4 linked regions of the Caenorhabditis elegans genome follow. The protein of the gene in region 4 interacts with the protein of the main gene of each other region in a pairwise test. Each region holds a gene or a part of one and is shown on either strand. Other genes may lie near its edges.

Region 1 (6,362 bases), on a different chromosome or scaffold from region 4:
CCCTACGGGTCAATTGAAAATTAGTCTTGCATTCAAGACTAATAGAGGAAATACGGTAATTGGGTACGATAGGAATACGGTAGGTTTATACGTTATGTAAGTTTCTACAAATGTAACTACTTCAGTTTCTCTGTACCAAACTTTGAAGAATTTTTTATTACTTTAAAGATAACTGAAATAGTGAGCCGTTGTCTACGAGATCAAATATGTCCGAAAATTACCATTTGGTATCAGTCCGAACAAATCGGTATTTATATTACCAAAGTTGTTTCTTCGTCAATATTTTGAATTTAATTTAAAAACACATATATTATTCAATTTTCAATCTCACGTGAGAGAGTGTGAGAGAAAAAGAGGAATTTTGAAATAAATGAAATTGAGAGAGGCCGTGTAGACTGAAGGTATTTTTGCAACCATGATTGTTTCAATTTCGTTTCAAACATGTTATCTCTACCGTATCCCGATTCTCAGATCAGAACAATTTCAATTTCCTCTTCCTTCTTCTAGGCTAGAAAAATATATAGACATTTCAAAAAACCTTTCATAGATAACAACATGAGCAAAAAAAAGTGTAATTCAGATTTAAGAACACTACTCAACAGATTTAAAATAGATCAAGAAACATTTCAATAAAATCGCGAGCTAGAAATAAGATTTACAAATAGCTGCTTGCAAATGAGGTACCCAAAAATGACTGGCTAACAGACTGTGATGGACTTCTAATTCTACGTGCTCCGGCTCTAGTGCTACGGCCTGAACCTCCTTCGCGGGCTGGTTCGGGCTCCTCAATTTCGTCATCAAGACCATCCTCTCCGCTCATCATTTGTCGTTGGACCAATTGTTTGTAGAGTCCTTCTTGTTCCATTAGGGTCTTGTGATTTCCAAGTTGTTCAACTTTTCCCTGAAAGTTTTGGGCATTAGTTATATTTCTTATACAAAAGCTGAAAATGGCTTGAACCTGGGAAACAGTGATGCGATGCGAGTTTTTAGGATTTTCCCATATTTTCTTATTGCTCTTTTTTGGTAAAATTACGAGGAGATGTGAAAATATATCCCTATCGTATATTAAGTGAATTCGATAATTTTTCAAAAACGAACATCTTTGACCTAACTCATGGATTTCTTGAATTTTTCAAAATTCTCTTTTTTGTAAGTGTTTACTTTCCAAAAACTGTAGATATTCAAAACTAACTTTGTTAATCACAACAATCTTATCTGCATTCTCGACAGTAGATAGTCTATGTGCAATTAGGATAACAGTTTTTCCTTTCAAGTTTTTTGAAATTGCTTCTTGGACCTGAAAAGATGTAGTTTTCGTATGAATGGATCGAAAAAACTAACAGTATGTTCTGATTCAGCGTCCAAAGCAGATGTAGCTTCATCGAGAAGAAGTACAACTGGTTGACGGACAAGGGCACGGGCAATTGCGATTCTTTGCTTTTGACCTCCTGCAAATACTTGCTTTCAAAGTTTAAATTTCAAAGAATTAGAATACACACCTGACATTTGGCTTCCTTTTTCTCCAACATTTGTATTATATCCATCAGTGGTGTCATTCATGATAAAAGTATGAGCATTTGCGAGTTTCGCTGAATTTTGTACCATATCATCATCGTATTTGTCTAATCCATAGCCGATGTTTTCCGTGACCGAACGAGCGTATAGTACGGGCTCCTGTCCCACAAGTGCTACCTTGGTGTGCAAGAATTTATGATCGTATTCTCTGGAAAATTGATTGACCATAGAACAAAAACTAAAGCTGGGCCATTGTCATAAGTGGCTCAAAGGTTGCTCAATCATCAAATCTTTTGAGATTCCCAACGAGAACTATATGGCAAACTCAAAGGACTTCAGAAATTTTTTCAAAAACTTGTGTGGTTTTTTGTGCTCTCACCTAACCGGAACTCCGTCAATTAGAACTTCTCCACTTGTTGGCTCATAGAAATGTTCTAGCATTGCAATACATGATGACTTTCCACCACCAGATGGCCCAACGAGTGCAACAACCTCTCCAGGTTCGACAGTAAATGTCAAATCCTCCATAATTGGCAGATCTGGCCGAATTGGATAACTGAACGCCACGTGACGGAATTCAATTTTTCCTGTCATACCGTCAGGTGCATAGGTTCCAGTGTTTTCGACACGTGGTGGACGATCAATGAACTCAAATACTTTTCTAGATGCTCCGACGGCTTGCATAAGTCCGTTCCAAACTTCTCCCAGTTCCTGGAATTTGGTAATTTATAACTGGATTTCCTGGTGATAAACTTACTCTCAAATTCTCCCCGAGCTGGAATTGATACAGAAGAAACGAGACCAATAGTCCTGATTCTACTTTATTCTCAATTACCAAATGTCCTCCATACCACAAGACAATAGTGAGGATTCCCATTTGAAGAAGCTGGAAATATTTGTTTGGGTTACTGTACCATAACTACAATAACACTAACCTCATTTGACCAAATCAAGCCGATAACGACGAAGACTTTGCGAGTAGCAATTTTGAGAGTTACGTTGAGGAAAGTCATGAATCTAAACATTTTGGAATTCAAGAAAAATATTGTTACTTGAAAAAATGTCACCTGCTAGATTCATAATTCTCACATGCGAACGATTTGACAGTTCTAATCGAGGAAAGTACTTCCTCTGCCACGTCATTGGCCTTTGCCACAGAGTTTTGAGTTTCTTCGGAGAGCATCTGAAAATATTTTTTGTTTGCTTTGAAAAACCTAAAATATTTCAACATGCTTGACATGAATATATTCAGTATTTTTGACCAGCGTTCAGTATATTTATACAAAATCCCCCAATACCTATACTCCAAAAATCTTAAAATTTGACTTAGATTAACTTAGATATTGCTTGATTTTTCTTCCAACTAGTTCCCAACTTACATCATACCAAACTCCGAAAATTTTATTGACGAGGAAAATGATCGGAATATTGATCAAAGTGATCATTGAGAGCTTCCAAGACAGTGTGAACATGAAGATTAAAGACCCGAAGAGCATTGTCAAGTTTCTTTAAAAATTTTAATTTTCAAGTTTATCTTCGATATCTCACCTGGTAAGAACATTCATGTAGAGGGACAAAGTGTTCGACATTGTTTGACAATCAGCTGACAGTCGAGAGCAAATCTCTCCTGAAAGAAGTTACATTTCTTACAGAAAACCATTATTTTGCTATTCTCCTCCACATTAAGTACGAACCAGTTTTATTCATATCAAAGAACCCAATCTCTTGCTTCACAACAGAACGGAATAGGTCATTTCGAATCTGTCGATCGATTGTAGCGTGTGCATAGGTGAATGATCCTCCACGAAGACCACCAAATACAGTTCTGAACATTTTTTTTCCAAAAGGATATTATTGTACAACTTACGAAGCCAATGAGAGCATTCCCATTATGAAAACGGTTTTGTGAAGCTTCTCATATGAAGCTTTATCACCGAATACTGCTGTTACTACTTCTCCAGTGTAATATGGAATGAACACTCGACCTGTATAATAATTGACCAATTACGAGTTTTATCAATTGATTTTTTCTTTCTTTAAACTTCACTAACAACTCTCCTTCTTTCTCGCAAATAAAAGCGCCCTTCTCGCTTGTCTCGACTTGTTTCACTCGCGGCCTAGTGGTTAACGCGGCCGGCTGCCGCTCGCCGCTCCCGAGTTCAACTCCACGCCACGTGATTTAGGTTTATTTGCTACTCTTGATTAACTCTCATGATGACAAGAAAGTATGATGGCTTTTAAAACTTTTTAATTTTTGAATAGAGAACTTACTAAGGGAGTAGCAGAAAAGGAAGAAGAATGCCATTCCATAGTATTTCCACTGCCTTCCCATGTAGCCCAAAAGTCTGAACAACAATTGGAAGGTTTCTCTTTGCTCTGCAGCTTTTTCAGCTTCCTCCTGACGGAGTCTCTCCTCGTGTTCAGCATCTCCAAAAAGAAGAGAATCTCCTGTTCCTGCTGCAACTTCTGTTACATGAGCAAGCACAGAAGTCCAGATTCCTTGAAGAAGAAGTGAAGCGAAAATACACCAAATCATAAGAATCCAATCACCAACTGCCAACCGGATATTGTCATCTTCATAGAATGCTAGAAGTTTCGATGGAGCAAATGCAACAATCAAGAGCATCATTGCAAAAACTACGTTCCTGGAAATTATCATGTTAACAAAAAGTTTCAATGATTTGTTATTCGGGAATTTGGAATGCGCCTTCAAACGACGAGTACTGTAACAAATTTGATTTTCTTTGAATTGATTTTTCCCACTTGAAGTTCTCAAAATTGGCAACTTACTTGACATTTTCGGCGACTTGTGAGAATCCGGAAGGTGAAGCCCATGCTGAAACTGCTCCGCCGAGCAAAATACTGTCACGAATCAACGCAACCGCCTAAAATACTCAATTTATGGTGGTTGAACAAAATTTTCTGATCTACCAAAAAATCTACTGGATTTTTCAAAAAACTATAGTTGGCCAAATCAAACCAGTGAGCGATATTGTCGAACGTGAAGTACTGAAAAGAGATTTTGGTTCGAATTTTGAACATATTTTCATACTTTTCCATTCCAAGCAAGTCCGAATACATTGACCAGAAGATCGAGGCCAATGAACGCCAGGCATATGAAAAGGGCCTGGCCACCCGTGTAAAGAGAAGAACTCATTCTTCTGAAAATCTCGAATTTCTCAAAATTGCTTAAAAAAAGAAAAAAGTAACTAGAAATGTAACTTTTTGGAGTATCAAAAAACGAATTAGGAAAACCGAAAAATGGAAACTCTGTCCCACTCTTTATTGATAACCGTGATTTGCTATCAGTGAATTTTAGGAGAATGGCAACTCTCCGCAGTGCTTTCTTCAATTTACTGGTGGACAATCAGGGAAGATAACGAATTATTCTTTCTCTTCGGCTCTCGTTCTCTCGTTTCAACTAAATAATCAGTGTGATTAGGCGCTGCGGGCGCTTGTCAACCATGTAACTGCCAATTTGATGCAAAATTGGATGCTCTGCGGGGGTGAATTGTTTTGCATGTGAATCTTTGTTTGTTTTCAGGATTTTTCAGAGTTTCAGACATGTCTGCAGACATAAAAAATCGACAATTTTAGCGCAGGATACGGTACACCACGTCGCGTCTGCAATTTTCCGTAGTTTCGTGTGTATTGTGTGCAGTAATATGTACTCCTCTCGGATAACTTCCACTTATTTATTTTTTTTCTTGATTTTCTTCCTTTTTCTCATGAAAAGTGTTTTTTTTTGTGTAAAATAATTTTAAAACATTGGTTTTCATAGAATTTGAGTTAGATTGCGCTATTCCAACGTAAAATGTGAACTCTTTTCGGTTTGTTTAGAAAAAATCAAGAAAACACCATATTTTCAAGCGTTGAAAGGTTAGATATTGAATTTTCAAACTCAACTGTCCCCAAGTTCTCACTTTTATTCCGATATCTGAATGCAACCTCTCCGATTACCTCAGTAAATACTCCTTAATCCTCCTACACCACGCGTTTCTCAATGCCATTTTGGTTTGGCCCCCTTTTTCGTAATTAGTAGTTTTTCCTTTCAACCCACATTTCACCTGAAAATCAGTTGTTTCCAACAAAAAATCGATGCATTTTCCAATTTGCATACACGCCAGTGTTTTTTGTTCAGTTTAAACGCGGACATCGAGAGTGAAGAAATGAATAATCTATTTAAATTGAAGAGACACAGAAGCTGATGGAAAGATTGAAATCGGAAATCGAGGTCGTCTTTCTAGATGACCGCAGGCTGAACTGGACGAACGAATGAACACAAGAAGTGTAGAGATTGTGTGGATGTGAAGAGGAATGAGAGAAAAATGGGAGAATTGGTTGTACATATAGTTATGTGTACGTGGACGACGACGTAGTTGTTGTTCGTTTCTCTTCAGTTTTCATAGTTTTCGCGTCCGAATTTTATCAGTTTTTGTTGCGTTTGGACATTCGGTCTTCCAGAACACTTTTTCGTCTTTTTTCTCTAGATTTTTCATCCGGATTTCCTTTTACAAGCTGCATACGCAAATTCTACATTTTGCAACCGACTAGCTGGTTCATAAATGCCAGCTGGCAAGATTATTCTTCACCCATCTGCCGGGTATGTTCTCTTGTGTATTCAGTTGGAAATTCAATCCAGAGTGCATTTTGATCCTCGATATACAATTATGTTTTATTTATGTCTAAAAGTTAAAAGTTCGAAGAATTAATTATTAAAATAAAAGTAAGAGATTTTTAAATTACTCTGAAGGACTTGAAAAGGCCCGAAAAGACCAAAGAAGACCTAAATAATTAATTTCCTCATTCATTTTCTTTGTTAACAAGTGAGAGTCAACAAAATAATT
Region 2 (5,096 bases), on a different chromosome or scaffold from region 4:
AATTTTCTGAAAAAAAAATTTTTTTTTCTAAATTTTAAAATTTTCTAATTTTTTTAAAACCTTCACATAGGTTTTCAAATATGCGGAATTCGATTTCTTTATTTCAATTTTTCCAATTTTTCCCTGTAAAGTGATAATTTCCAGCCTTACCACTCAGCATCCCATCGTGCCAGTGAATGGGAGTAGTCGGCCGGTCCAAATCCTCATCTCTATTGTTCAGAATAATTAATTTGTATTTTTCACTGGGTGAAGTAGCAATTTTAATAAATCCAATGCACATTTTGGAAAACTCTGGAAAAAATCCGAAAATGAATTTTTAATTGAATTTTTTGAATTTTTTGAATTTTTGGGTGAAAAGTGTTGGAAATTTGCAAATTTTGAACAAAAATGAGAAGTAGTTTGAAGAAATGAAAAATTCCAAAAGAAAATTTCCAAAAAAAAAAATTTCAAAAAAAATTTTTTTTCAAATTTTTTCAACATTGAATATTATCAGTGCTACAATACACATATGACCACAATATAGGCTTCAGTGCAAAAGTTTTTGCAGAAAAAAAGTTTATTCCCGGGGAAAATAACATACAAAGTACACACAGAAACGCGGGAAAAAATGATGACATTTTCTTTATCACAAAAAAATATCAGATAAGAGAACAATAATCAGAGATCATAAAACAATATATACACTGGAACAATACAAAAAAGAAAAGATAAATAATTTTTTTCCAAATTTTTTTATTTTTGAAAATTCCATAAATTTCATATTAAATTCAATTTTTCCTTTAAATTCTGAGCCTTTTACATTTTTTCTGGAGCTTCTAGCCCAAAATCTAGAAATTTGGGTTACTGTAGTTTTGGAAGTACGCAAACACCGGATTCTACGGAATTTTGCACAAAAACGCTGAAAAGAATGATATAGATGTGAAATTCGTCGGAGAGCTCGAATTTCACACTGAAAAAATGTTTAAAACTTCGGAAAATGCTGAAATTTCAGATTTTTGGATTTATATTGATTTTCGACACTAAAAATTGAGAATTCTCATGTTTTAATGTGCAAAATTCGAATTTCCCGTCGAATTCTGAGTGAGAATCGTTTTTCCCGGTATTCTAGCGCTGAATTTGAACATTTTCGGGTACTTCACACTGCAAAGGTTGAAAAAATCTCAAAAAATGCTGAAATTTCAAGCATTTAGAATTTTATGGTATTTTCCGCAGTTAACATTTGGTATTTGTATACTTTACTGAAAAATTCGAAATTTTTATCGAATTCTGAGCTAATCCGTCTATTTATAGGCTTCTAGAGTTAAATTTGAGAAATTTTGGGTACTGTAGCGCCGAAAGCACGCAAACACCGACTACCGTACTCAAAACACCGGACTTGACGGAATTTTGCACTAAAACTCTGCAAAGTTGCTACCCGAGGTAAAAGGTGATGAAAAACTAGAATTTTACAATAAAATCTCATCAGAAATTGCAGAAAATTTCGAATGATTTCTCTGACAATGTCGTTTCAAGTTCTTTTCACTATCACTGCTATATTCGCATTTCTCGCATCGAATTGATCCTCCTTTAATATTCATTCCACGTTGAAAATGTGTCTGATGATTTGTTTGTTTTCCATGTCTGAAAATATTTAAAAATTTAAGAAAAATCGTGAAAATCTGTAAATTTTAGAGAAAAATCGATTAAAAATCTGCAAAAATCAATAGAAACTGTTTTTGGTAACTACTAATTTTTTGGGCGCTGCTAATTTTTTGGGCGCTGCTAATATTTTAGGCGCTGCTAATTTTTTGGTCGCTGTTAATTTTTGGGCGCTGCTAATTTTTTAGGCGCTGCTAATTTTTTGGCGCTGCTAATTTTTTAAGCGCTGCTAATTTTTTGGGCGCTGCTAATTTTTTGGCGCTGCTAATTTTTTGGTCGCTGCTAATTTTTGGTCGCTGCTAATTTTTGGTCGCTGCTAATTTTTGGTCGCTGCTAATTTTTGGGCGCTGCTAATTTTTGGGCGCTGCTAATTTTTTGGCGCTGCTAATTTTTTGGGCGCTGCTAATTTTTGGTCACTGCTAATTTTTGGTCGCTGCTAATTTTTGGGCGCTGCTAATTTTTGGGCTCTGCTAATTTTTTAGGCACTGCTAATTTTTGAGCGCTGCTAATTTTTTGGGCACTGCTAATTTTTTAGCCGCTGCTAATTTTTGGGCGCTGCTAATTTTTTGGTCGCTGCTAATTTTTGGTCGCTGCTAATTTTTTGGGCGCTGCTAATATTTTAGGCGCTGCTAATTTTTTGAGCGCTGCTAATTTTTGGGCGCTGCTAATTTTTTGGTCGCTGCTAATTTTCTGGGCGCTGCTAATTTTTGGGCGCTGCTAATTTTTTGGGCGTTCTCACCTGTAAAGTGCTTTTCGATTAGGAAAACTCCCCGAACATTCCGCACAAATCGATTTTTCCCCGCAGATTTTTATCGATTTTTTCGGAATTTCCGGTGGTTTTTCTGGCGGTTCGGCGGGAATTTGAATTTTTCGCTCAATTTTTCGGCGAGGAGGTCGTGTCGCGTGTTCGGCGGTTTTTCCGTGTCTGAGAAAATATTTTTTTAAAGAAAATTTCTGTTTTTTTTTTAAATTAAAATATAATATACCTGTAAAGCCCTTTCCGATTGTTAAATGCATCTCCACACGTAAAACAGTACAATTCTCTAGGTTGTGACGTGACGAACGACGATGACGTAGTAGTGTCTAATGCCACGTCATCATAGTAGATGAAATCCTGCGATGACGTAGACGGCTCCAGGTGACCGAGAAAATCAGCGGCGGATGGATCCAAGAAATCTTCCTGAAATGATGAGAAATTGCAGCGCCCAAAAAATTAGCAGCGACCAAAATTCCAAATTTCCCAAACTTTTCCCTAATTACGTACCACCATATGTTTTCCCATATCCACTAGACATTCTTCCTGTGTATTTTGGAAGTTATCCTCAATAAATATCACACTTTGTGTCATTTCTTCAACTGCTGCGTCCATACGTTCTGGAAGTACTTTTTTCAAAAAATTAAAAAAATTTTGCTCGTCTCTACAAACCTATTGCTTCTGAAAGATGAACGTCTGGTAGTTGTGAAAATTCGTGTTTGAGTTGCTCTAGGTGTTCTAAGAAGCTTTCCATCTGAAAATTAGTTGATCGTGGCGGGACCCCCCAGAAATTCGAATATTTTCTGAAATTTTCAAACTTAGTCATGATTATACTTTTTCAAACCGCAGTGGTCTTCTGATTCCAAAAATTTACAGAAAATGGGTCTCACCACGAAAACCAGAAGTTTTCATGGCCGGACCCAAAAATTCAAACTTTTCAAACCTAGTCATGATTATACTTATTTAAACCGTCATTTTATACTAATTTCTAATAATGTCAAATGAAATCGATTGCTCGAAAATTCACACTTTTCGTGGCGAGACCCAAAAACTCGAAAAAATAAATAAATTCGGAGTCTAGTAATGATTATACTTATTAGAACCGCCATTTTATGCTGATTTCAAAACTATAAAATTTCAGGAATTTCGATCGAAAATCACCGAGTTATCCTAGTTTTTCTGATTTTCGCGGCGGGACCCAAAAATTTAAAATTTTTAAATAGTCGTGATTATACTCATTCAAACCGCGCATTTCATGTCAATTTGAAAACTATTATGAACTAGAAATTTCGATCGAAATTTGCCGAGTTCCGCTAGTTTTTTGGTTTTCGTGGCAGGACCCAAAACTCAAAAAAAAATTAATGAATTCGAAACCTAGTCATGATTATACTTATTCGAACCGCTGTGATCTCCTGATTTCAAAAACATACAAGAAAACCAGCGGGTTACTGTAGATTTCATGGCAAGGCTCAACTTTTACAATTGTCGTTAAGTTATAATGGAAATTCGAAACCATATTGTGTAAAAGTGACTCAAAATTGAAAAAAAAAAACAATTATTTATTTATTTTGAAAATTAAAAAAATTCAAACAAAAATCCAAAAAAAAAAATTTTGAAATTTTTTATTTCAAAATTTAAATTTTTCGCATTTTCAAAAACTAAAAAAAATTTAAAAAATCATTTCAATATTCCATCGTATCCTGCACAATAACTTCTTCTTCTTCAATAATTTGTTCATGATCCCACACTTCTTCTTCTTGTTCCTGATGTACAATATGGTGGTGGTGCTCCACACCGAATCTCTGCTCCATTCTAGCCAAAAGCCCGTCGGCCCGGTCTAAAACCGCCGAAAATCTGTCCTGATTTTGCATTTCTCGTCGAATAAGCTGTAATTTCAGCTCGTGAAGGTTTTCAGCCGATGTTGATGACGTGGATTGTTGGGGTTCCGGTGGGAAGGTGACACGTTTTAGTAGCGGTGGTGGTGATGGGGCAAGGTTTCTGGAAAAAAAACTTTTGTTAAAAAACATTAAATATGATATTTCTTATTGAAAAATAGAAAATAGAAATTTGAGATTTTCAAAAAAAAAAAATTTTTTTTTCAAAATTTTTATATTTAATTTCGAATTCCGTACTTCTGCAAATTTTCTACCACAGGATCCATAGAACCAGTAGCCTCCACAAATTCTTGTTCCTCATCAGCAATTTGTTGATATCTCGAGTACTCCTTAGACTCTGTTCGTACTCCATTTTGCTTGAAAGCTGGCTCAAATTGAATTGGTTCACCTTTCCAGTAGTATACAATTACAGCGTACTCAGGGGATCCCGGGAAACTGCAAAAAATTCGGTTTTTGAAGGTGGAAAGCTCAAGAAAATTGGTTTTGTTTAAATTCTACATTCTCTTTAAAAAAATACAATAGCTTTGTTCAATTTTTCATCTGAATCCCTATATTTTACAGTATTTCTGAATAGATATATCGAATTAAAACTCAAAACCACAATAGTTTTGCTCGAAGTGATTCAAATATTGTATATATTTTGTTTCGAACGCGCAAAATCGAGTGTATTTATTTTCAGTGAAAAAGTTTTCTTTCAATCGTGTTGGTTTTTAAATATTACATATTCTCAATTGAAATTGTTGCGAAATAGCGTCATTACATAATTTAAATATTTGTTCCCCAGAGTAATATATTCCGGACCAATAGAT
Region 3 (4,664 bases), 3.7 Mb from region 4:
GTGTGCGCACAAAACGATTTCATCTGAATTGGCTCCAATCGGGGTCGATTTATAGAGCGGAGAGGAGGTCGCACCATTTCATCAACTTCTTCCGTCGTCCAACCGTTCACAGAATTTAGGTCATCGCGAGCCGAAAGTGCGGGTGTACGTCTTTGCGGCCTCGACGGGTGACTTTACGGAGATATGCATTCGCTCCTTGGACATGAAGAAGGAGAAAGTCATGGATTGGAATAATATGCGCTACGGAGGAGTGAGAAAGATCACGGAGACGACTAATGCGCACTGTGCGCGAATGTTCCCATAATACCATAAACTCAGAGAGAAAAGACGACACGGATACTCTAACAGGATCTTCGGAACATTTAGTAATACGTTACTTTGAGTTAAAAAGAAAACGATAGCACATTTTTTAACTTTTCAAAAAAAACTCAAAACAACGAAAAAAATTCTACTCGAGTACTTTAACTGCTTAATTAGTCGATAATTTTTTGAAAACCATTCAAAAATTCTTCTAGATTTTGAGCAATACTTCCTACCATAAAATCTCAGAATGACGTATCCCAGGTCAAAACTTTAGAAGACCCTTTCACTCTCACTTCACATAATGCACAATTTGACCTTATTTCGGACACTCACTGGGCGAAATCGCGTGAGAATGAATTGGAGTCAAGAGCGTCTTGTAGAAGTGAACAAAGAATTAAGAAATAAGAAGGAGTTTCATTTTATAAGTACGGATAGTCAATGAGTGGAAGCAATGAGGACTCGTAAAGACGATTATTGTAATAAGGGGATAAAGAGTCTATACTATAGAAAAAAGAGAAGTCTGCAGACTTAAGGTTAAGTGTAGTGACGGAAAAGTGAAAAGTCGTATCAAAAAAGATGCACAATGATACCGTCAGACTGACGATGTGCTCGATTTTTATGGCTTCGGCTCCACCGGCAATATTTGCATACACCACACACACACACACACACACACACACACACACACACACACACACATTCTAAGCATTGTGCTGCGGTTTTATAATATCGGACACCTTACCACCCGCTTTCAAACCGGGATGCTTAGAAGGTGATAGAAGAAATGGTGTTAACAGCGCTCACACAGTTTTGTTGTTGGTTGCGCTCGCCGGGGCACACGACAACGGCGACAACGACGCGACGAGTACAGTTTTGTCAGTTGTGTGCATTGTGCATACAGGCGCTCAATACCCGGTATGGGAGAAAGAGAAAGGGATGGGAGAAGACGATGATGGAGAACAGGAGGTATGTACACTTCGGACGATGCTGAAAGTGAGGCAGGCGCCAACGCGTTCTATTATGAGCTCGTACAGGCAAAAATGTATTCGTAGAATAGAAGAAAAAGAAAGACATTGTGATGAAATATAGATTATTCAATTACAAGATTAGTTCGGACAGAAATACCAGAACTAAATGGAATTTTAATGTTTCAGGAAAATTATTGATTAATTTATATTTTTAGTTATTGTCGCTAATGATTTTAGAATTTAGATTTAAAAAATCTCGATAAATGAGCAAACCTGTCAAATGCGAAAATTAACCAATTTCCAGTATCAAATATAGAAATATTTCGAAAAAGGGTAGAGGATGATACTGAGAGAAAGAAAACGGACGGTTGCTCCGTGAACAGAAACATTCAAATCCTCCGTTCAACATATACTATCTCTCGTCGATGAAAGTAGCATCACCGTGTTGCTCGCATAAATGGAAAAGGGAACAGAGCGAACAAAAAATACGGACGCCGATGCAGCAGTTGGCTGCAGCTCTTGCTTCCTTTCTGCACATTTATGAGAGCGCCACGACGATTGATTTCATCGATCTCTTATGTACAGGAGAAGCACCGAAAAAAGGAGCTATATATGTCGAATTCGAAATGAGCATCGTGCGAAAGAAAGAGCTTGGAATTGAGAGATCATTGATAGAGTAGAGGTTTTAGGAGAAATATAAAAAAAATGTTTGCAGTGATGTTCAAGCTAGTCTATACTTCAAAAATCTGATTTCTAAGAGAATAGAAGTTATAGGTTATGTTGAATCCCTACATTTTAGGATCAAGGGTGTCGCTTTTTCGGTTTTTTTTGTTGGAAATTCAACAAATTTTGGTTTTTTGATTTTTCGAAATTTCTCAAAAATTGCTCGAAATTTCAGCGCCTGGGCTTTTTTTAGAAGGAAATTATATTTTCTTTTGTGTTTTATATTCAACAAAATTAAATTTTGATTTTTTTTTCGGAAAACCAAAAAAGTTCGTTTTTCGATTATCTCTCAAAAAAATTGGCATTTTTAGACAAAAAAACTAAAAAATTTATTTTTCGAAATTTATCAAAATTTAACAAAAATTGCTCAAAAAAAAGTTAGATTTTCGATTATTTCTCAAACAGAAAAATTGACATTTTTTAAAAGAAATCCTTGGTTAGCATCAGACCGCACTTTTTTTCGGATTTTGGAAGAGCGAAAAAACGGAAAAAATTTGTTTTCGATTTTCAGAAAAAAAGTTTTTATTGATTTTCAATTACACTTAAAAAATTGTAAAGTCCAAAAAAAATAATAAAATCTCGGTTACTTGTTTGAAAAAAAACTTTAATCAACTTAAATTTTGAATTCCGTATAAGAAAAGTGTTTTCAAATTTTTTTTCGATTTTTTCTTTAAAAAAAAAACGGAATTTTTCGTTTTTTTTTCAAAAGTGAATTTTTTTGGATTTTCTCAACAAAAAAAACCGACAATTTTTTCAGCGGCACCCTTGTTTAGGAAGTCGATTCGAATAATTAGGGGATACCAATGGTTAATATGGACCGAAAAAGGAATCAGAGGTACAATTGGAAGTTCTATGCAAAGTTTCAAACCAGAGAAAATGAGTAAATCAATATTTTAGATAATTTTTATAAATAAAAAAACTCACGCAATAACTGAGAAGATCGATCGTTGCTGCATCATCGTTCAGTTCGATGACCACAAATTTCGGCATCCCGGCCGGGTTCGAATCGTACGAAGACGACACCTATGTATATTATTTATATTATTAGGAATTACAAGAGCACGATAAAGATATTCAGAAATAGAAATAACTATTTAAATAAGAAAAAAGAAATTACCACAAATAATAAAAAGACCGACGATTTTATTGAAAATCGAGTAAGAACAAAATTTGCGTTGTAAAACTTAAAATTAAAAGAAAATATTATAAATATCAACGAAAAAAATTTAAAGAAACTATTAAATTTTTGCTTCTTTTCCATATTGATGATTCGGGAAACACTTTGCCATTGTATCCAGCCATTCTTTTCGTACTTCTGGTGTTCTGAAAAAAATTGACTTTGTAAGATTTTTTTATTTTGGAATGAAACGAATTAAATTCAGTTTTCAAATGGACATCGTCTGAATTGGATTTTATTCAAACATTTTTAATTTTTTTTAATGGAGCGATCTTGCGACAGAATTGAATTTAAAAAAAAAATTAAATATGCTCTTTTGAAACATTTTTAGTCTAAAATATGATCTAGAAAAAAAAATTTCTAAAATTTACATTTTATTCAAAATTTCAAATCTATTTTTGCGGGTTTATGCCAAAAATAAATTTTTGGCTTATCCTCACATTTGGATAAAATTACCATTTTAAATAGAATGGAAAAAAAAAATCTTGCGGTGCAGCTGCAACATTAGTAGCAATTTTCGTAATTTATAAAACAAATTGCGTACATTTTAAAATAATTATACAATTAAAACAGAAACCGGCTTTCATGCTTTTCGAGTGAGATTAGATAAAAAAAAATAATCTCAGTGAATTAGTGATTCAACTAAAAAAGAGCTGTCGCACAATTTTTAAAATCTTTAAAAAATAATTTTTTTAAAATTTTTTAAATTCAAAATAAAAACTCACATCATATTCACAGGTTCGTGTTCCGAATTGTGTTGTGATTGTCCGTGCTGCTTTACACGAACTTTTCGTACAGCTTGATATGGACATTGGGAACATTTGAATGGTTTATGAGTGGAGTGTTTCATCATTACGTGTTCAAAGAAATTCCATTTAGAACCACCAGAATTCAGGCGAATTCCAATTCCACAAATCTCACAAATCGCTGTGACTACATCTCCACAAACACTTCCAGAACTTCCACATGATTTCATTCGTTTTGGAGATGGGGAAACTTTTCCAAAAAGTGCCAAACCAGTCCGTATAGCTTCAGTTGCTAGTTGTTCTTCCAATTCAGCAGTTTGTTCATCAACTTCTTCACTAAATTCATCATCTTCGTCATTGCAAGGTTCCAGTTTAACTTCTACATCAACACGTTCCACTCTGAAATTGAAAAAAAATTATGAAATGAAAATTCTAATTTATTAATTCTACCTGCTCTTGATTGAATTCGTCATGTCCAATTGTGATACAGGGGAAACCGGCAATTCTTTGTTAGTTGGTGGAATTGGTGTTGACCAAAATGGTGTTCCATCTCGAGAAATCTCATCTGTTTCAGGTTCATGTTCATAGTTGGAATATTCTACCGTATCGAGTCTAGGCGCTCGAGGTATACCTGAAAAAACGGTTAAAATGTTTTATTTAATTTAAATAACAGCTGCAATTAAATTAATGTGATAATTTTCTGATGAGAAATAGGAAAATTGTTAGTTTCATCTCTCAATTTCCGTT
Region 4 (8,039 bases):
AAAACAAATGAAACAATATTATATACAAATATATAAAGCCAGCTACGCGGGAGAAAATCGAGAAAGTAGAAATGAGGGGGGAAAATCATAAATCACTGGAGGAGGCCACGGAGAGCTGATTCAATTATCTGGCGATGAGCAATTCGGGTGACACCGAGCTGTGTAAATCGAGACCGATCGCACTGGCGAAGGCATCGGCCATTGATTCGTTGACTTCGAAATGCTGGTGTATATTCAGAGAGGTGTAGTGATGAGAGCCAACCGATGACGTCATCCACCGACCAGACATCTACCTTCTTGTGTTCGAATGATATTTCACTACCTGCAAAGAGAGGAAATTTGGTAATTTGTTGAAACTTAAAGGAATGAGCCCCAAAATCTAACAGATAATGATTTGAATTAACAATTTTTTCTTTTACAAAATATCCAAAAAAGAAGTTTCCTTCAAACATATTTCAAACTAGAAATGTTAACAGATAAACTGAAGCAAACAATTCAAAAATGAAGAGTTACACTGAAACAGAACAAACGAAATTAAGTAAATTAAAAAACCAAATCAAATTGTTTTTTTAATATTTAGAAAACTAAATATTTTGACAAAAATACTATTATAGTATAAATATTTTTACAAGTTTACAAGTATTTTTACAAGAATACAAGCGTAAACAAATAAACTAGATAATTCTCAAAACTGCTCTAAACATTTATAATGATTTGAATTGAGAATTTGCTAAAAAAAATGTATCCCGAGAACACAACCAGAGCATTCCAAAAACCCCATGTTAACCAAAACTAGACCCCAGACAGATTTCATTCTCCCCTTTCCTCTTAGATTCATAAATTAATCTCCAAAATTTGTGAGAACATAAATTAAGTGAGTGTGCAAAAAGAGTAAAACTAATGGTGATGTCAAATGAAAAACAAGTTGGAAGAAGAATCTCTTACAGCGAATCTCTCCATCGCTATCGCCTGTTCCAGAATCCGGATCATCATCATAATCGACAGGTGGAATGACATGAGATGGTACCACGAAGCATCCAGGTTTCGTTAGATCAACTGTTGATGATGATGACGCAGTTGACGACGAGGCAACAGACATCTGAATTGCAGGTTTTAGGTTAGAAATTGGGCACAAACCACACATGAACAAATTAAACATTCTTTCACACCATCTTTTTTTTGGGGTTAAGAAAAATGTTATATTGAGAAATCAGTGCAGGGAAAAATGGGTCTTACATTGTCCTTCTGTCCGTAATTATCCTCGAGATGCTGAGAGATCAGTGTCACTCTTTGAACATTTGGAGAGTGATCAAGTGAGAAATGGGGTCGATGATCTTTTTCTTCCGATTCAGATGGTTCCAGTGACGTTCGAGAAGATGTGTACCTGAAAAGAGAGGATTTATTTAAGTTGTATGTAAGCTTCAAGATTGAAGATGTTGAGCTACGGAAGTTCGAGAAAGCAGTTAGCAGTTACCGTGTTTTCTCTATTAATATTGTACTTCGATTGTTCAACTTTACCAGCTTATATCTCAGTTTTCGGTTGTTCTACACAAAAATTGTCAACTGACTAAATATTTTCTGATACTTTTTCTATAGTTTCATAGTTGAACATTTAATGATATCTTCTAAATGAACTGAGATATAACTGTTCAAAGTGAAATAGTGGGAATATGGTTAAAGGTACTATGAAAGTAGGCAAGAGACACGAATAGACGCCAAAAGTCTCAGAATGTTTTGAACTACATTCTGACAGACTTTTTTAAATGTTCCAAAAATTAGCAGTTAGAAATAGCCAATTAGCAAAAATCGGACACAACCAATAATTATGCAACCAACGAGCATTTTTCAAATGAAATAAACTCACTTACCCACTGTCCTTCTTATTAACTATTCCAATGTTCTGAATTCCTTTTCCACGTTCTACAACATTTTCCCGAACAGTTTCTCGAAGTGATAATCCTTCGAATCGACTTTCTCTCTCCTCATCCTCATCGACATCGTGAGCTACTTTACTCCGCCTCTTTGCCAACGCATTCTTCAAATCCATTTGAAAATCTGTCGTGGAGTTGTTGTTATTATTGTTATTATTACTGACAGAAGCCGCCGATGTTTCTCGTGGTTCTGCTTTTTTTAATTGAACTGATTTCAAGGCATCTGCTGATATTCCTTTTGAATTGCTCATCAAAACCGGAGCACTCGCAGCCACATGCATCAAACCTCCCGGAGGAGGTGGTGGAGGTGGTGGCGGAGCTCCAGATGAGATTGGAGGCAATGGAGGAGGTGGAGGAGGTACTGAAGATGTTGATGGAGGTGTGAACTCAACATGTACCATCGTTGGCTCGCAGTGTGGCGGAGGAGGTGGTGGAGGCGGTGGTGGAATCGATGACTGCTGCTGCTGAATTGGTTGAGGTGTTGAAGCTGATCTTGGAAGAGATGGATGTTGTTGTTGATATTGGTGGTTCTGATGATTCTGATGTTGCATCGGTGGAGGAGGTGGTGGAGTTTTCGGCCTTGACGTTGGTCGGAACGGCCTAGAATATTCACTCCGCTGCATTGAAGAATCTCTCTGCAAATCCGGAGAGATATACGACGCCGGTGGTGGAGCTGGCATCTCATCTTCATCGTCAAATGAATCAAATGAGTCCATTCGAGATAGTTGAGGTGTGCTTCGACTGCTACAGTTGTACTCGAATGTGCTAGTTGTGGGAGCCTGAAAAATTCTACTTTCTCAGTGTGCTCGCTGTTGGGAATTTTGCTCTGAATTGCTCCAAATGACATGATATTTAACAAACAAAAAAGAAAACATTTAAGAAAATCGGGTTAATTTTTTAAATTTTTTTCTGTTTCAAAATGTTTTTTAACTTTGGCATTTTGGCATCTTTAATCTAGTTTCTCCGTAATTTAGAGCAAATAAATATTCCGATTCCCACATTTTTCTAAAACTCACCGCTTGCTCGAAAGTCGACCTATTCAATCCGGCAGATGAAGCCACCACATTCCGTTGACCTTTCCTCCTCTTCATGTCAGAAACCGAATTATACTTCTTTGACGAATAACCCCCATTCAACGACTCCTGATCATATTGCATTTGATATGGTGAACCTTGCACCGACGGTACCCGCTGTCGAACCATCAAATTCTCCAATTCCGCTGCGGATATCCTCCTCCCGCTACCCGGCCTTTGCCTGACTGACGCGTGACGTGATTCCGAGTAGGCGTTCCTGATTTCATTTGGGGCATAGTAATCAACTCCATGCGCATCATGCGTGTCTGAAAATAAAATGACTATGCTACACGAGACCGAGAACAAATCTATAGAACAGATAACACATAATTAGAAAGCTGATCTCTATGTAAATTCTAGATTAACGTGAACAGTGAATTAGAAAGTTAGAAAAATAAAGTAAAAATAAAACAAAAAAATTCGAACCAAATCTCATCCGATAAACACTGGACGCTTTTGTAGACGAGTAGATTGCTGACGGCGTGGGTGTAAAAACCAAAGAGTGACGAGATGATGCTGGAAGTGAATGTGAGTGAATGGTGACGGTGCACGGATTAGAAAACAATTTGTACTTGAACAAAGACTACACAAAACTAAAAGCGTGCGAATATGAACGACGATACGTTGAAATTATCATTGAGATTTGGGATGATAAGTTCAAGCTTACACTTCAAGCCGAGTTTGTGCAATATCAAGATCATCAAGATACTTAACTCCCAATATGAACTTCTTTCAACCCAAATCTCAACAACACTCTATTCAACTTTCTTTACCTGTTGGCGGTCGATGCACAATAGTTCCTCCCCTACTCATATCAGCTACATCGACTGTTATCACTTTCAGTGTAATCGTGTCACCGGCTTGCTGAATGAATTCGACGACTTCATCGTGTGAACACCTTCGCACATCGATTCCATCAATTTCCAGCAAGTAATCTCCTGGCCTTAATCCCGCGCGAACCGCCATTCCGGACATGTCGACACCTTCAAAAAATTGAAGAGCCGGCACTTGAGCAGTTGGCTCGAAGTTCAATGGCATGGCGACATCTGAAACAAGAACTATGAGAAAATTATTGAGCAGTTACATAAGAAAAAGGAATTTACGTTTAGCTCCTCTCAAAATGAAACCGAATCCCTTGACACCACGTGGAATCACCAGAATCCGAGCGATATTTGTCTCGTGTCCAGCTGCAATCATTCCACCACCACGCATCGAATCCATTCCAGACCGTCGCATCGTACCGTACTCTGATGGGGTGATGGTAGTACGGGAGGATCGAGACGGGCTTGGCGATGGAGCTGCAGACATTGGACCTTTTCGTACACTTTGGGGAGTACGGTAGACATCCTGGCTGCATATTGAGGATTGGGACATCGAACGTCGGCGAGTGATGGTTGAGCTGAGGCGTCGGCGAGTTGAGTATTGAGGAGTGCCGCGATATGGTACTGGAATTTAGATTTTTCAGAGAAGTTAAAAAAATGACTCTCTTACCTGAAGATTTAGGATTATGTGCTTGAACGACATCAGCCACACCAGGATTTCCGACAATATGCGAAACATGTAACGCAGTTTGTCCTTGCTTGTTCACAGCTAGATGATCAGCTCCCCGAAACAGCAGTACTCTTGCACATTCTGGCCTATTGTTCACTGCACAGACATGAAGAGGACTATTCCCATTTACATTTTCAGCATCGATCTGACCACCGAAATAGAGTAAGTGTTCCACATGTTTCGTTAACCCATTCTTGCATGCTTGATGAATCTCGTGGTTTCCGTGCATATCGGTCACACCGATGTCGGCGGCTTCTCGTAGAAGAATCTCAGCGACTTGATCATTCGAATCTGCTGTCAACATATTATAGTAGAGCGGTGTAAGTCCAATTGGATCACGATAGTTTGGGCTTGCTCCAAGTTCGATCAAGGTTTTTACATTCTCGAAGGAAGATAGAAATGCGGCTTTGTGCATTGCAGTTTGGCCTTCTGAATTGCGAAAATCCACGTGTGCTCCGCCACCAATAAGGGATACAATTACAGCTCGATTGTTCGGGATTCCAGCAGCCAGCGTTAATGGGGTTTCTCCCTGAAATTTTGTGAAAATTAAAATAATTTCAAGATGCCCGGCAATCCTAGAAACATCCACAAAAACTCACCTGAGCATCATGAAAATTTGCATCAAGTCCCTGCGAACACATCTTTTCCACTTTCTCGTTATTCTTCTGCTGAACGTAGTCCATAAACTTTTTGAGTTGGCCCTGCAAAACGAGAACGATAAGTATCTGAATTGAGAGGTGCGCGCGAACACAAATATTATTAGTTTGTGAAGAAAGGGGGAAAGATATGCATCTGATGGAATATGACGCATAAAACACCTTGTAATTATACAAGGTTTTTGTCAGTTTTCGATCAACATGTTGGATCGGAAGGAATTGAATAATAAGATGGGATTAGAACTAGAACATTTAGAACCTGGGAGGTTTTGGCATTGAAAGTTGAAAGAGAAGTAATCCCTACCTTCGTGTGCATTGCCTTCAGCTGCTTCTCGTCAAGATTGAGCATCTTATAGACTCGTTTCTTATACTTCAACTCGAGATACGGAACACAATCAGTGAACGGATAGTCACGAATGGTCCGATCCTCGAGAAGAAACTTTCCGGCTCGTCCATCGCATGGAGGAAGGAAGAGCCCGTAGTTGAAAGCTTGCGGAAGAGCTTGCGGAAGGGTGGCCAATAACTTGCGTTTCACATCCCAGATGAAATCGTTTTGGGTCACCGCAAGGAACTTCTGAAATTGAGAAATTGTAGAAGGATTATGGAACACCTAGATAAAACATTTTGAAATTCTATGGTAAGTTCTGCAAATAGTCACAATTTTATTTTGCAATTGCTCACCCGAACGTTAAGCTCCGGAACGAAGATCTGCAAATTAACGGTGTCCTCCTCTTGATTCATCGTGAATGCTTCCGCTCGGACGCCTTTGCTTCCGATGATGACACTAGCGCATCAATATGTCTCCGGACTTGTACAACACTGTTAGAATGAAGTTACCACTATTAGCTAATCGAACAGAAAGAAATGCAGAGGAAATAGAGAAATTAGAAAAAAGAAGAGAAGAAAGGCGATAACTTTGATGTATTTACTATTGATGTCAATTGGTGGGACATGGATCACAAAGGGGGACAGGCAACATTTTGCGCATGTAGGAGGTGCTGATCATGGGTAATAAAATTGAACATAAGGTCGGGTTGGTCGGGACAAAAAAAACGATGGAAACTCTGGGTAGAGATAGGTAGGTAAATGGTTTTTTGACAGATAGGTTTTTTTGTAAAATTTCTAGTTCTTGGTTGCCTTGGTTTAAAAGTTCGAGCTAGGGCGATGACGGGCGATTGTGGGCGAAAAGCCAGCAACAGGCTGCCTTCACACATGCCTATGTGCCTGCCTATTTGCCTATATTCCTATACGCCTACGTGTCTGTTTGAAAAACGAAGAAATCGTAGAAGTCACAAAAAGTGTTGCCAAATACAATAGCGTCGAGTTTTAAAATCTGCACTTTATTGAAATTAAAAAGTCTAATAATCAAACCTATAAAGTTTTAGAACATTTTCAAACTCGAATCTATCAATGTTTCCGCATCTAAAATTCAAGATCCACAAGTACTATGCAAACTTGAAAAGATGATGGAATTCTCAAAAGACTTATAGGTTTTGCCATTCGAAAAGAACACTCGTAATGGAATTGAGGAAGCGAACAGAGGAGAGAGAGCGCGACTCTTTTCTCCGTACTGTCGGAATAATGTGAGAGATAGCATTGAAGATGTGGAGACGCAAACTGTCTATAAGAGAGGCGGAAACTGGCTTCACTTCTTGGAAGGATGAGGAGAAGAAGCTTGTGAGGAGAAGAGGAAAACTGACAGAGAGAGAGAGAGAGAGAGAGAGAGAGAGAGAGAGAGAGAGACAAAAAGTAAGAAAACGAACAGTGAATGCACGAAGTAGTAGTATTGAATGAAGACGTAGCTGTGACAAAGAGGTAATTAAGTATGTACTCAAATAGTTTGTATGTTAAAGGAAAAAAATGTAACATTGTCCTCAAAGTGTCTGAAAGTTCAATGTGAATGTTGAAGCGGTGTTTGAAACACATAGGAGAAGGGTACATATTAAAAATATGAAATTGCACCACATTACTTAACTTTAAAAAATTATATCTTGGTGTATTTTAATGATATCAATAAATTATCGAATACAAACGATAGAAAAAAAATTGCAAATATTTCGTTAGTTAACAATTTTTGATTAAAACAAACGGCAACTGAGATATAAGATGCTAAAGTTGAACAAAAAAGTGGAATGAGAAAATATGGTACTCAACTTTGACAGCTTGTAACTCGGTCGTCTCTTAAAATTAAAAAAAAACTTTTTAGTTACGTAAACATGAATTTAACAATTTGTTCGTTAACAAGTCGCGAATTAAATGGAGAAACTAGAACAATTTTCTCTGAATTTCATCTCCAAATGGTTTTAAAGCACCTCGAAAAATGCGATAAAACTACACAAATCTCGTTTCCAATTTCAAGTGATAAACGAGATGATAAGACATATGGAGATTAAGGTAGTCAAAGTAGATGATCCGTACAGCTTATTGCAGGTAGGCTTAAAGGTAGTGAACAAGAATTATCTAGGGAGAGAAAGAGAGACGTCTGGATGAAAGGAAGGTGACTATTGTAAGCTGACTCTTACAATTGAGTCAGAGACATGTTTCCGCCGGAGTTTACGACCTTGGACACAAAGTTCCAGAATCAAGGTAGTAGGGAGGAAACTGGGGGAGGTAGGGATGGGTATTGTAAAAAAATATATTAGTCATTTTGTGGTGTCAAATCAAATATTTACTTTTTGATTCCCCCCTATTCAGAAAAAATCTGACACCTGATAAGAAGGATGGCAATGAACCTTGGGGAGGAAATGAAACGGAACACAGTTGAAGGCCGTCTTTTTGAGGAATCTTGGCATTTTGAGAGGAAGCGAATTTTTGAGGAAAATGGGAGA

The links.
Region 1: the proteins of shn-1 (region 4) and haf-9 interact in a two-hybrid assay, tested with the Caenorhabditis elegans proteins (one large-scale study listed by BioGRID).
Region 2: the proteins of shn-1 (region 4) and ztf-20 interact in a two-hybrid assay, tested with the Caenorhabditis elegans proteins (one large-scale study listed by BioGRID).
Region 3: the proteins of shn-1 (region 4) and lir-1 interact in a two-hybrid assay, tested with the Caenorhabditis elegans proteins (one large-scale study listed by BioGRID).

The regions. Positions count from the first base shown.
Region 1 is NC_003279.8:6,080,126-6,086,487, reverse strand, and holds haf-9 (ABC-type antigen peptide transporter), read right to left. Parts: upstream 4,677-6,362; 5' UTR 4,673-4,676; coding exon 4,568-4,672; intron 4,525-4,567; coding exon 4,447-4,524; intron 4,401-4,446; coding exon 4,306-4,400; intron 4,161-4,305; coding exon 3,787-4,160; intron 3,751-3,786; exon of another isoform or gene 3,683-3,750; intron 3,681-3,682; exon of another isoform or gene 3,549-3,680; intron 3,501-3,548; coding exon 3,383-3,500; intron 3,341-3,382; coding exon 3,210-3,340; intron 3,143-3,209; coding exon 3,064-3,142; intron 3,022-3,063; coding exon 2,895-3,021; intron 2,699-2,894; coding exon 2,583-2,698; intron 2,533-2,582; coding exon 2,451-2,532; intron 2,402-2,450; coding exon 2,273-2,401; intron 2,227-2,272; coding exon 1,895-2,226; intron 1,724-1,894; coding exon 1,500-1,723; coding exon of another isoform or gene 1,465-1,499; intron 1,449-1,464; coding exon 1,342-1,448; intron 1,298-1,341; coding exon 1,193-1,297; intron 902-1,192; coding exon 656-901; 3' UTR 531-655; downstream 1-530.
Region 2 is NC_003283.11:18,957,027-18,962,122, forward strand, and holds ztf-20 (C2H2-type domain-containing protein), read right to left. Parts: upstream 3,147-5,096; coding exon 3,065-3,146; intron 3,022-3,064; coding exon 2,903-3,021; intron 2,819-2,902; coding exon 2,625-2,818; intron 2,564-2,624; coding exon 2,378-2,563; intron 1,621-2,377; coding exon 1,446-1,620; 3' UTR 541-1,445; downstream 1-540. Other genes in the region: hrg-10 (DUF833-domain-containing protein), read right to left, coding at 151-280; Y39B6A.43 (DUF4124 domain-containing protein), read right to left, coding at 4,075-4,390, 4,525-4,722.
Region 3 is NC_003280.10:7,670,363-7,675,026, reverse strand, and holds the start of lir-1 (LIn-26 Related), read right to left. Parts: upstream 3,023-4,664; 5' UTR 2,985-3,022; coding exon 2,919-2,984; intron 164-2,918; exon of another isoform or gene 28-163; intron 1-27. Other genes in the region: lir-2 (C2H2-type domain-containing protein), read right to left, coding at 3,233-3,317, 3,897-4,316, 4,368-4,548.
Region 4 is NC_003280.10:11,384,833-11,392,871, forward strand, and holds the start of shn-1 (Protein shank), read right to left. Parts: upstream 6,033-8,039; 5' UTR 5,953-6,032; coding exon 5,893-5,952; intron 5,786-5,892; coding exon 5,516-5,785; intron 5,257-5,515; coding exon 5,155-5,256; intron 5,085-5,154; coding exon 4,496-5,084; intron 4,450-4,495; coding exon 4,108-4,449; intron 4,051-4,107; coding exon 3,778-4,050; intron 3,521-3,777; coding exon 3,431-3,520; intron 3,271-3,430; coding exon 2,948-3,270; intron 2,906-2,947; exon of another isoform or gene 2,885-2,905; intron 2,711-2,884; coding exon 1,869-2,710; intron 1,385-1,868; coding exon 1,237-1,384; intron 1,100-1,236; coding exon 946-1,099; intron 323-945; coding exon 93-322; 3' UTR 1-92. UniProt on the Caenorhabditis elegans protein: Scaffold protein that most likely acts in the postsynaptic density (PSD) of excitatory synapses which orchestrates synapse formation and maintenance at neuromuscular junctions.